Linked DNA regions of Caenorhabditis elegans. The protein of the gene in region 3 binds, or shares a complex with, the protein of the main gene of each other region. Each region holds a gene or a part of one and is shown on either strand. Other genes may lie near its edges. The genes, in order: czw-1, rod-1 and zwl-1.

What was found.
Region 1: zwl-1 (region 3) and czw-1 share a complex: the UniProt entries of both Caenorhabditis elegans proteins name them as parts of the RZZ complex.
Region 2: zwl-1 (region 3) and rod-1 share a complex: the UniProt entries of both Caenorhabditis elegans proteins name them as parts of the RZZ complex.

Annotation. Positions count from the first base shown.
Region 1 is NC_003282.8:7,944,993-7,948,746, forward strand, and holds the start of czw-1 (Centromere/kinetochore protein zw10 homolog), read right to left. Parts: upstream 1,601-3,754; 5' UTR 1,584-1,600; coding exon 1,290-1,583; intron 1,247-1,289; coding exon 690-1,246; intron 636-689; coding exon 93-635; intron 45-92; coding exon 1-44. Other genes in the region: F20D12.12 (uncharacterized protein), read left to right, coding at 2,479-2,512, 2,919-2,962; mcm-3AP (PCI domain-containing protein), read left to right, coding at 3,685-3,745. UniProt on the Caenorhabditis elegans protein: Essential component of the mitotic checkpoint, which prevents cells from prematurely exiting mitosis. Required for the assembly of the dynein-dynactin and mdf-1-mdf-2 complexes onto kinetochores.
Region 2 is NC_003282.8:7,476,312-7,480,065, forward strand, and holds the start of rod-1 (Kinetochore-associated protein rod-1), read left to right. Parts: upstream 1-2,140; 5' UTR 2,141-2,141; coding exon 2,142-2,238; intron 2,239-2,293; coding exon 2,294-2,446; intron 2,447-2,493; coding exon 2,494-2,789; intron 2,790-2,846; coding exon 2,847-3,239; intron 3,240-3,282; coding exon 3,283-3,754. Other genes in the region: pycr-4 (Putative pyrroline-5-carboxylate reductase 4), read right to left, coding at 1-489, 558-811, 870-978. UniProt on the Caenorhabditis elegans protein: Essential component of the mitotic checkpoint, which prevents cells from prematurely exiting mitosis. Required for chromosome segregation, the assembly of the dynein-dynactin and mdf-1-mdf-2 complexes onto kinetochores and spindle pole separation.
Region 3 is NC_003279.8:2,400,442-2,404,195, reverse strand, and holds the start of zwl-1 (Protein zwilch homolog), read right to left. Parts: upstream 1,965-3,754; 5' UTR 1,962-1,964; coding exon 1,872-1,961; intron 1,181-1,871; coding exon 901-1,180; intron 852-900; coding exon 758-851; intron 1-757. Other genes in the region: dot-1.1 (Histone-lysine N-methyltransferase, H3 lysine-79 specific), read left to right, coding at 2,708-2,738, 2,788-2,986, 3,058-3,187, 3,428-3,580. UniProt on the Caenorhabditis elegans protein: Essential component of the mitotic checkpoint, which prevents cells from prematurely exiting mitosis. Required for chromosome segregation, the assembly of the dynein-dynactin and mdf-1-mdf-2 complexes onto kinetochores and spindle pole separation.

The DNA.
Region 1 (3,754 bases), on a different chromosome or scaffold from region 3:
TCACGTTATCACGGAGAAGATTGACAAAGTTGATAGTTGATTCACTGAAAATTATTTTTTAGAAAAAAATAATAAACACTTTAAAAAATTACCTGACTGTACATTTCTGGAAAGCGAAGAATGATGGAAACTGCGAATCTTCATTATGGCTCCAAAGACGTCCAAGATCTTTTCCATATTCTTTAGCAAAATGTTCGGCATGTGTATGAGCCTTTGCAAGCAAATCAATATCCTTGATGGCTGAATCATCAACTCCAACTGTAACCAGTTTGTCATACGTTTCATTTATCAATTTATTCGCTTTTGAAACGATCGCAAAGCAACGACGAGTCACAAAAATTGTGTCCGTGTCAAGAGTGAACAGCAACTTTGCTTTCTGAGAAAAGAATCCGAGCTCCTTCATTCTTTCGACAAAGACCTCTCCAATTTGCAACAAATTAATGAACATCTCCTGATCTTCGTCAGCAGTTTCAGTGACGGGTGCTGCAATCGCAATTACATCTTTCAGTATCATAGTTATCAGTTGTTCCTCAATAACGCTTCCGATCATCGACGTGAAAGTCTTTCCAGTCGCGTCCAGCAGTTCGTGAGAATGAAGAACGGAGTGCAACTTCGTAAAAAACACTTCCATTGACCTGAAACAACCATATTTAATTAAATTTCAGAATTTTAAAGTGGTTTTCGCTCACTCGAGAACTTTTGCGACATCAATAGTCTTGTCCTTCTTGCCACGTGGTTTTTGGTTTATCAAGAATCTTGTCTGATCAGGTGTTGGATTATCCACAATATATACGTCAACACCATCGCGGCTAGCAACAATCGCTTCACAGAACACGTTCAAGATAACGATTTTCCAAGCGTCCAGTCGTTCTGGTAATTGTCCAATCATATTCATAGCACTTAGAGTTTCGTTCAGCATTTTCTGATCTTCCACGCTTCCAACATTGAATACTGAGAAAGAAACATTTGTACGATCTCCACATTTCTGTTTTGACAGTTTTGGAACATTCATTGCTCTTTCGTAGTCAGCGGACAATTGGTAACGACAATTGTAGCTTAAAACCGAATATTCTGCGGCAAAATGCTTCAATGGAACACTCATGTCGAAACCGTCTCGTCCAATTCCTTCAAGCAGCATGTTTGTGTCATTGAGAAAATCTTTACAAGCAAGAATAGCAGTTCCCCATTCTACACGATTCGTTGTTTTACTCCGCATAATTATCAATTGTTCTTCGACATTTTTCATCTGAAAACTCAATTGTTTTATATGCTTATTTTCGAACCATTACCGATTGCAGGAATTCCACCAGATTTTCGCAGCTTTGAGCTTGGGATTTAATCTCTGCGAGCATTTCGGGGCTGTCCTTTGCTGTCTGATCAATTAAGTTAGACAGATTTCGAGTAGACATTTCAGCTATATCCTCGAGGTTCTCAAGTCGGTCGAAAATAAGCTTGGCTGTCGCGTTAACATTGAGTGACACTTTCAGGTTTCCATACTTGTCCACAATGTCCTGCGAGATTGAAGTAAGTCCATTTTTCAGTTTTTTCTCAAGATCTCTATAGGATCCCTCGGATGACGCCATTTTTTAAGTTTCACAGCCTGAAAAAGAAAATGTTCTACGGAATTATTAACTAACAAATACATGAAGACAAGAGCATTTAAATTTCCCGCAAATAGAAAACATAAAAACGACAACGAGACACCGGTGCGCTCACTTTAGCAGAAAAATGTTACTCACGCGTTCACAGAGATGAAAATTAATAACGGGAGATGAGTTGCAGGCAAGTGACTGGGGAAAGAGTCAATTTAAAAAATGTTTAATTGAGAATTCAGCATTCGTGATTGCTTACTTTTTGAAAAAAGAGCGCCGCGTGAATAAAAACAATAACGTTTCTATGAAGAATAAGATCTTATTACGTATAATTATTACGTTGCAACGCGTTGAAAATCGATTTTAAAATCCTTTGAACGATAAAAACAAAAGTTTGTAAAATGATTTGAAATCGAAATCAAACTTCGTTCCACGCGCGCATAATTATGATTATTGGCGCCAATGTACGGTGTACATCCGTGTTTGCGTACTTCGGACATGCAGACAACGAGAGACTGAACAAAACTGAGACCCGAAGAACTCGGGGGATGTCCAACTGGGGGGATTCCCAACTCGGGGGATTGGCCACGCCCACAGAACCGTGCCTTACAATACGCCCATTTCTGCAACCTCCGCACGGTTTTGAATGATGATTTTCTTCATTGTTTTTTGGGGGAGAAAAATCAATTTCGACTCTAAAAAGTTCAATTTGAATTGTTTTTCTTCGTTTTTTTCAGCCATTTTCGCAAAAAAAAGTATTTTTCAACCGTGACTTGTTAATTCGCCCTCCTTAATTCGTGTATTCCTTTTGTTAATCTCTTTCCCTCTCATATTTTATCAATTTTTTTAATTTCTAGACTTCGTCGAATCGAGGGAAATTGCACGGATGAAACAGGGATGTGCTTCTCCAGGCCACCCACGTGAGTATTATATTCTCAAATTGTAGAAAGTAGGAAAAAATTGATTTAAGAACAAAAATTGAAATAGTTTAACAAAAAATTAATGAAATATCTTCGGATCGAACATATATGGACTTATAGAGGCATTGAAATCGTTGAAACAGCTATAATTTGCTGTCACTGCTCTTTTGAAGTCGGAATTTCTGTATAGTGGCGGGCGATCAGTTCTTTTCGATTGTACGTCTCTGTGAACGTTAAGACTCCAAACCGTAGACTTCTCAATTGAATTGTGTAGAATTTTGTAATTGCATTCATTTAAGCCAAAAGCCTCTAAAAACTAAGCGAATCTGATAATAGACCAGATAAAATCTTTTTTCATTTATATATCAGCGATGTCATTATGAAAGTTCTAATTTAAATTTTTCAGATCCGCCCGAGCTGCTCATCCTCCAAATTCTTCCGTTTTCATGACAAATTATTGTTTTTTTGTTGAAATTATGTAATTCATTAAATGTAATATTATCCTTATCTGTAAATAATTATCATGATCAATAAAATATCGCTCTTAATGTTCAATGAATAGCTTGCAAACCAATTTGTACAATAATTTCATTGAACAATTTCCTTCGGCTCTGAAAAACATTTCATCACAATTTTTCAGGTTATCTTATTCGAATTTTTTAAATAGAACTCGTTCTACGTTCTTCACTTCGTCTCCTCACGTGTAAATTGTTCTTTCCTTGCAAATAATCGATTTTTACGCGTCGCCTTTCCGTGTGAATTGTTGTTTCACTGCGAAAAATCGATTTTTTTGAAATATTTTACTTTTATTCCGCGAAAACGACTCAAAAACCGAAAAAAACAATTCAAATTGAACTTTTTAGAGTTGAAATTGATTTTTCTCCCCCAAAAAACAATGAAGAAAATCACCATTCAAAACCGTGCGGAGGTTGCAGAAATGGGCGTATTGTAAGGCACGGTTCTGTGGGCGTGGCCAATCCCCCGAGTTGGGAATCCCCCCAGTTGGACATCCCCCGAGTTCTTCGGGTCTCACAAAACTGAGAGACGGAGGCTACCGGAGGAAAATTCGAAGTTTTTTGTTTTTTCACTGAAGACGTTATTTTTTAAATTTATTCAAATGCGCATTTTATTTAGAAGCATCTTTTCTGACATAAATAAAAATTTTACAGGTGATGGACCCGCCACCCTTCAACTTCAATTCATCAGCAAATACCTCGGTTAAACCTCCAACAGGTACATATT
Region 2 (3,754 bases), on a different chromosome or scaffold from region 3:
TACCACAGCTTCCATAACAGCGTAACGGAATCCGTTCTTCTCAAGTGCCCGAACACCTTCAATCGTTGTACCGCCAGGGGAGCAAACCATATCTTTGAGGGATCCAAAGTGCTGAGTTTCAATATCAAATCCAGAGTTCGAATTGAGCACCATTTGAGCTGCTCCGAGTACTGCTTGAGCAGCTAATCTTTTAGCCTCTGCTCGTCCGAGCCCTTGTGCGACGGCTCCATCTGCCAGTGATTCGATGTACATAAATGTCCATGCAGGACTACTCCCTCCAATAGCCATTGCCGGGTTAAAGCATCTTTCTGGGATAAGTTCGACAGTTCCAACACACTCGGCGAACTCGCGTGCCAATTCGATGTGAGAATCTTGATTCATAATTTTTTCATTCTTTTCATAGCACATCGTCGAGGCGCCGGCTCCAATAGAACTTGCTACATTTGGCATCAAACGAACAATGGTAGTGTTTCCCGAAACGAATGGCAACTGGAAAAATGTTATGTACAGCAAATTATGATTTCTAAAATTATTTTATAACTGCTTATAGTAATCACCTTCGCGTTGAGAACTTTTAATGGAACTCCAGCCATTACAGAAATAATAAATTCTGGTCTTGAGTTTACAGGCCAGCTTGACACAACTTCTTCGAAAACTTGAGGTTTCACACAAATCACATAGATTGCCGTCGAATATCTTTCCAGCATTTCCAGTGTGTTTGTGAAAACGTTTTTATATCCTAGTTGCCTCCATTTCTCAGCCGATTTTTCCGTTTGAACGCCAATTACAATATTGCTTTTCGGTGTAAAGCCTAAAAATTAGAAAACAATTTAATTCAAATCAACGAGGAGAACAATTTTTTAACTCACCTTTATTCTGGCATCCTTTTATAATTGCAGCGGCCATATTTCCACCTCCGATGAACACGAATGGCACAGACTCTGAGGACCCGTTTGTCAATTCAGTATCGATAGTCATGGTTTTGACTGAAATCAATAATAATTGTTTTTGACACAACAAAAAGCAACATATTAAAAAAAAAAGAAGAAGACATGAGCAGAGGTTTGCCCGCTTAACGAGATTCTGTTTCTCAACTGCGTCTCTGTGCGTTTAACATATAACTGGGTTCTATTTTATGTCTCTTGTTAGACGTCTAGACGTCTAAGTCTCCATTTATATAAAAGTTACAATAAGATATATTATGGTACATGCTGGGATCATTTTAGTACCGAAATTGACATGAAAAACTAGTATTCTATAAAAATTTGTATCTTAAAACCGTGAAAGGCACAGAAAGTCACCTAGATGATTATTTTGTCATCATTCCAGAGGCCGTATAGATAATAAAATATATTTGTCATCGGTTCAGTTTTGTCATCCTGCTCTGGAAAATAATTCAAAACGTTCAAACCACGAACAAAACAGTAGGAACAGGTGAAACACAGAAAATAAACACTTCAAAATTTCTTTAAAAAATGTAAAATTATTTTATTTATGATAAAAACTTGAAACATCTGAGCAGATACGGTAGACATATTAAAGGCGCATGCTGAATATTGGAGATGGGTTTTGGGACGAAAAACTACGGTCTTTTTTCGCCTGCCCGCGCAAATTTTAGGCGCGAATTTCTCTATATTTACACGAATCTTAATTCTTTTGGATATCATTTTAATTTTCAGTTATTTTCTCGCCTCATCCTAATAAATCGTTTCAGACTATTTATTTTTGATAAATATAGTGAAATTTCTGAATTTAAAGAAGTTTTCCGGTCTAAAATTACGTTTAAAAAAGCTGTATAGTTAGGAACACGTAATTTCCACGTTTCGATCAATTTTTACTGAATGTGTTAATTGTTTTTCATTATTTAATTTTTGTTCAACACAGTTAAAGGTAAGGAAATGTATGAGATTTGAAACGCTTTTCGTGTTTAGTTATTGGTTTTTTGCTTCAAAATTCAACTATTTGGTTCAAAAAAGTCTTGTTTCTCTCACTCTAACACTTGGAAATTGCGCCCTGCTGACACTTATTTCGGCGGCGAAAAACATTTTTTGAAATGAAATTGTTCACTCATTTTTATAATCGTTCTTCTGTTAAATTTTTTAATTAGAGATACCAGTGTATTATAATGTCGTATTTGCAGAATGGGTCGCCTAGGCGAAGCAAAAGCTGTGGACTTGGAAGCGGAAACGTCGACTGTGGGCCTTTATGATGTGTGCACCGTTGGGCGAATCCTTCCCCGTAAGAAAATAAAACTATTATCTTTATGATTAATGTAATTAAATGTATGTTTCAGTGTTAAATGAGATGTCAATCGATAAGAAATCTCCGGCATGGAAGCTCAAACCGAAAAGTAACGAGCGATTTCTTGTTCTTGCGTCGTGCTCCGATCTGGCAGTCTTCAGTCTTGGCGAGAAAAGCGACTACTCGTTCAACACCGGACTTGGAGGTATGAGCTATTTCAGAGTCTCTGGAATGATTTCTCAACATTTTCAGGAGCCATCACTGATTTCGAAATCCTTGGAAGTTCTTCCTTCTTTGTTGGAGTCATTGAACATCGTCGTATTGTAATTCTCTCGCTGGATAAACAAGAAATTTACTTGAACGAGCCAGCTCCTCATGAAATTGACTTCGTTGTCTGTCACACTACTTCCAGTGTTTGCCAATTGATTTTCGGGAGCCGATCTGATAATTGGCATACTATCACATTGCCAGGAGACGTGGCTGCATCTAAGGAGACTAACCGTTTCGAAAATTGGCACAGAGATCAGATTCAGGAATTTTTCCACCAGGTAACGCTCATCACATTCATTTAAAGTTTCAAATTAATTTTAATACTCTCTTTTCAGGCAATGGGAAAAACGGTTTCAAAGTCTGTTGACATGTCGAAGGTCGCAGGTGACATTACTCTGATCTCCAATGGGCCACTTCAGACGTTCGCTTCAATTGATCAGCAAAGAGGGATTCACTGGTGTGGTCTCGTCGAATCGGAGTTTGAGGTGATTGGCATGGAAAAACAATTCTTGCAAGTCCGTGATGGAGGTAGATTCTCTCTTCACCTCGACACGGATGGATGGATTCATGTCTTTGATTCATTGGTATCATCCTTCTGCCACGAATTTGACATGAAGATGTCTCCAGACGACAAAATTCTTGATTTTGTGATCATTGACAAGAATGAAGTTGAAGTTCCGAAGATGTTCGCAATTTTGGTTCTGCCACGTGACGGAGATAGCACAAAGGTATTTGAATCGTATTTGTTAAATTTTAATAATTTCTTTTTAGATGATGATATACGATCGATTGAATAAAGACAATTGTTTCGCTTTGGATTCATCCACGTCTACAACTCTTTTTGCTTATGGAGGAAGTGATCGTGTCTTGATAGCCGTTGAAGAATTGGAAAATTCTCTGGCAGACGAACAGGACGGCAGTCAAATTGTTGTCAGACAAGTCTCACAGTCTCGCCCTGAAATGCGTTTCGAATCTCTTCTGAAGAATAACAGATTTGAAGAAGCTGAGAAGTTCGCCATGGCATTCATGCTGGATGTACAAAAGGTTTACAAAGGACACGTACATTATCTGATGGACTCTTGTGATGAAAGCGATGAATCTTTTGAGACTCTGATGACGAAGATGGGACAAATTCAAGATCATAATATGGTTGCTGAAACATACTTCACTCTTGTTGGAATGAGTCGGCGCTGTGATCGTATCCGCACCTACTTGACTCATGCAAAGAAGCGCAGAATAACGG
Region 3 (3,754 bases):
CCGAACGAATCCAATTGGCGGAAAACTGAGATTTTTGCAATTTTCAAAAAAAAATCATATAAAATTTAGAAAAATTTTTTTATCATGATATATATATGATTAAAAAATGCAAAAAAATTTTCTAGATTTTATATGATTTTTTTTTGAAAATTGCAAAAATCTCAGTTCGAATTTCCGCCAATTGGATTTGTTCGGTGGAGCGCACTTGCATTATTTTTATTAATTAACTTTATTTATTCTCGTTATTTGACCGATTTTCTTCATTTTCTATGTTTTTTCCTCGGAAAATGGAAGAAATGAACAAGACAAATGCAAAATGTTTGTTAAAAAGTAATTGAAAATGAGTAAAACTGTGAAATATACTAGTTTCAGGCTTGTCGTCGTCGGATCGCATATTTTCAGAGTTTTATGCATTTTCAGTTACTTTTTAATAAAAATTTTGCATTTTTCTTGTTTATTTCTTTCATTTTCCGAGGAACAAACATAGAAAATGAAGAAAATCGGTGAAATAACGAGAATAAATAAAATAAATAAATAAAAATAATGCAAGTGCGCTCCACCGAACGAATCCAATTGGCGGAAATTCAAAGCGGAATTAGGGGGAAAACTGAGATTTTTTCAATTTTCAAAAAATCATATAAAATCTAGAAAATTTTTTTGAATTTTTTTATCATGATATTCGGTCCTTGTGACCTCATAGGAATGTTTCAAAGCAATTTCTCCGCTGGCGCTACTCCAGAAAACATAAATTTATTACTATCTCTGAAGAGACACCCCGTCCGAGAGTGGAATTGGATTTGCATCAAAGAAGCTGGTTTCACACTCGTATCCAATGATTTCCACGTCGCCAACTGTAAAATCTGGGGGTTTTTCAGCATAAAAACAGCATTTTCAACCTACCCATTCCTTTTCTCAATTTTTCCAAAGTGAGAAATGACGTCATAAGTGGTCCACCTTCATTCACATTTTCTTTATCCTCAAAACTATCTTCCATTGGCTCAATTTTCTTTTTGAAAATCATCTTTTTCTCCGCTTTTCCTGCTCCTGATCCTGTTCCCTTGGATGGAAAATCAACGACAAGAACATCTTCAGAGCTCAGAGAAAGCTGGGAAACGCTCGAATGATTCATCACGAAGGGAATCGACGTGAGCGGGAGCACGCGGACACGGTACTTGTCGAGCTGAAAAATTTAGATTTTGAAATTTTAAAATTTGAGTTAAAGGGGGAGTAGAGTTTGTGGGTATTTTACTCAAATAGACTAAAACTGGACCAAAACCACCGAATTTCATAATGAGACTTCACAAAAAATTTCCAAAACTTTTTTATGGCGGGTTAATAAAATTTCGAAAAAATAAAGCCAAATTTTGCTAAAATCTGAAATTTCGCACACTTTTCTTTGTCACAACCGCTGAATTTTAATTTTTCTAAAGTTATCACCCTTTAATCCTTATTTTGGTAATTTATCTCGCGAAAATTCGTTGATTGAGACAACTTTTAAGCCGATAGGCTTAAAAGTTGAGTAGGCATCCAATTTTGATCATTTTTGGATGCCTATCGGCCTAAAAGTTTTCTCAATCAACGAATTTCCGCGACATAAATTACCAAAAGAAGAATTAAAGGGTGATAATTTCAGAAAAACTAAAATCAAGCGGCTGTGAGACAAAGAAAAGTATGCGAAATTTCGGATTTTAGCAAAATTTGGCTCTTTTTTCGAAATTTTGGCCCGCCATAAAAATGTTTTGGAAATTTTTTGTGAAGTCTCGTTATGAAATTCGGTGGTTTTGGACCAGTTTTAGTCTATTTAAGCAAAATACCCACAAACCCCACTCCCCCTTCAAACGAAGAATTCTAGAATTTTGGGGGAAAATTACCAGGAGAACCGGTGCCGGGGCGTCGTCCTCTTCGCCTTTTGCGGCCATTTTTTCATTATATTGCTTGAGCTGCTCGATGGTGAGTGGCATTTTCTGGGAAATGAAATTTTGAAAAAAAAAAGAAGAGAATTTTCTGAAAAAACGTGAAAAAAAACATTTTTTCACTGATTTTCTTCATTATTTGTGTATTTTCATCGGCAAAAAGAGAGAAAAATGCGAGATAAATGTGAATTTTTCATTGAAAAATCACTGAAAATGGGTAAAACTGTAATATTATGAGTTCCGACGACAACAAGCCGGAAATTAGCTATTTTCAGTGATTTTTTAATGAAAAATTCACATTTATCTTGCATTTTTCTCTCTTTTTGCGATGAAAATACACAAATAATGAAGAAAATCAGTGAAATAAGGAGAAAAATAAAATAAATTAATAACAATTTAATTTCCGGCTTGTTGTCGTCGGAACTCATAATTTTACAGTTTTATCCGTTTTTAGTGATTTTTTAATGAAAAATTTACATTTATCTTGCATTTTTCTCTTTTTTTCCGAATAAAAAAACCCAAAAAATTAAGAAAATCTGTGAAAAAATGAGAAAAATAAAGTAAATTGTTTTGTTTTCGCGCCACTTAAGTGCACTTCCTGTGCAAACACTTCCACGTACTTTTGCGTACTCTGCAAGCGCGCCCCACTGCACTCCTTATCGACCCACCAATTTTTCCAATAAAAAAGACTTTCTGATTGGATTTTTTCTCAATTTTTGTTTTAAAATCAAAGAAATTAATGAAAATTAATTAATAACACATTATAATTTTTAAAAAATCCATTTTTCAGCAGGATGTCGGAGGCAGACGCCGGCGCGAGGGATGGTGAGAAAATTAAGATAAAAAATTCAAAAAAATCAAAGAAAAATTGCAGAATCACCATCAAGGACAGCGGAAGAGCCGGCTGCTGCAATGAGAATCAAAGAAGAACGGAGAAGTTCTTCGGTAGACGTAGTCGACGTAGGAAACGGCGAATTATTAGTGCTTCACTCGATTTTTTATCAAGGAAAGACGCTTCGTCTGCCGGGTAATAGAGCTCACATGTATCCCGTTGTCTTTCAAATGATTAAAGGGTGAGAAAAAATCGATTTATAAATATATATATATATATATAATTAATTTCTGATCATTTTTCCATTTTCAGCGTGTGCTCCCTAGTTAAACAATTGGTGGTCGCTTTCCCGAAGGGCTGGGACCAAAATACTCCGTCAATTAGTGAAATTGCGGCTCTGACGAAGAGTTTTAATCGTGTCGCCAAGCCATTTGCTTCGAATGTGAGCTTTTTTGGCGTTTATAAAATCCAAAAAAGGCGGAAAAAATAACTTTTTTTTGGCGTTTAAAAATCCAAAAAAACCGGAAAAAATAGCTTTTTTTTGGCGTTTATAAAATCCAAAAAAGGCGGAAAAAATCGAATAAAAATGAAAAATTCGTGTTTTTTCTTCCTTTTCTTGGATTTTTTTAAACCAAAATCCGCAAAATTTGCAAAAATTAATTAATTAACTATTTAATTTCAGTGGAGCGGGTCGTACAACACAGATACGCTGAAAGAGTGGGGAGAGCCAAATTGCTCGGCAGAAGTGGCAAAAGCCATCACAACGTACGCCTACGAGTGTGCAGTTCCACGGCCAGCAGATCTCAATCAACATTACAAAAGTTTCACGTCCGAGGTGAGGCGTTTTCCTGGAAAATTCATATTTTATGGAAAAAAGCTGATAGTTTCGGGATTTTTATTCAAAAATCGGTTTTTCCTTAGAAATAAGCCTGAAAATTTATATTTTCTAAAAGCCAAATAATTTAGGCATTTTAACTTAAAAATTCATCAAAAATCCTATTTTTATCGA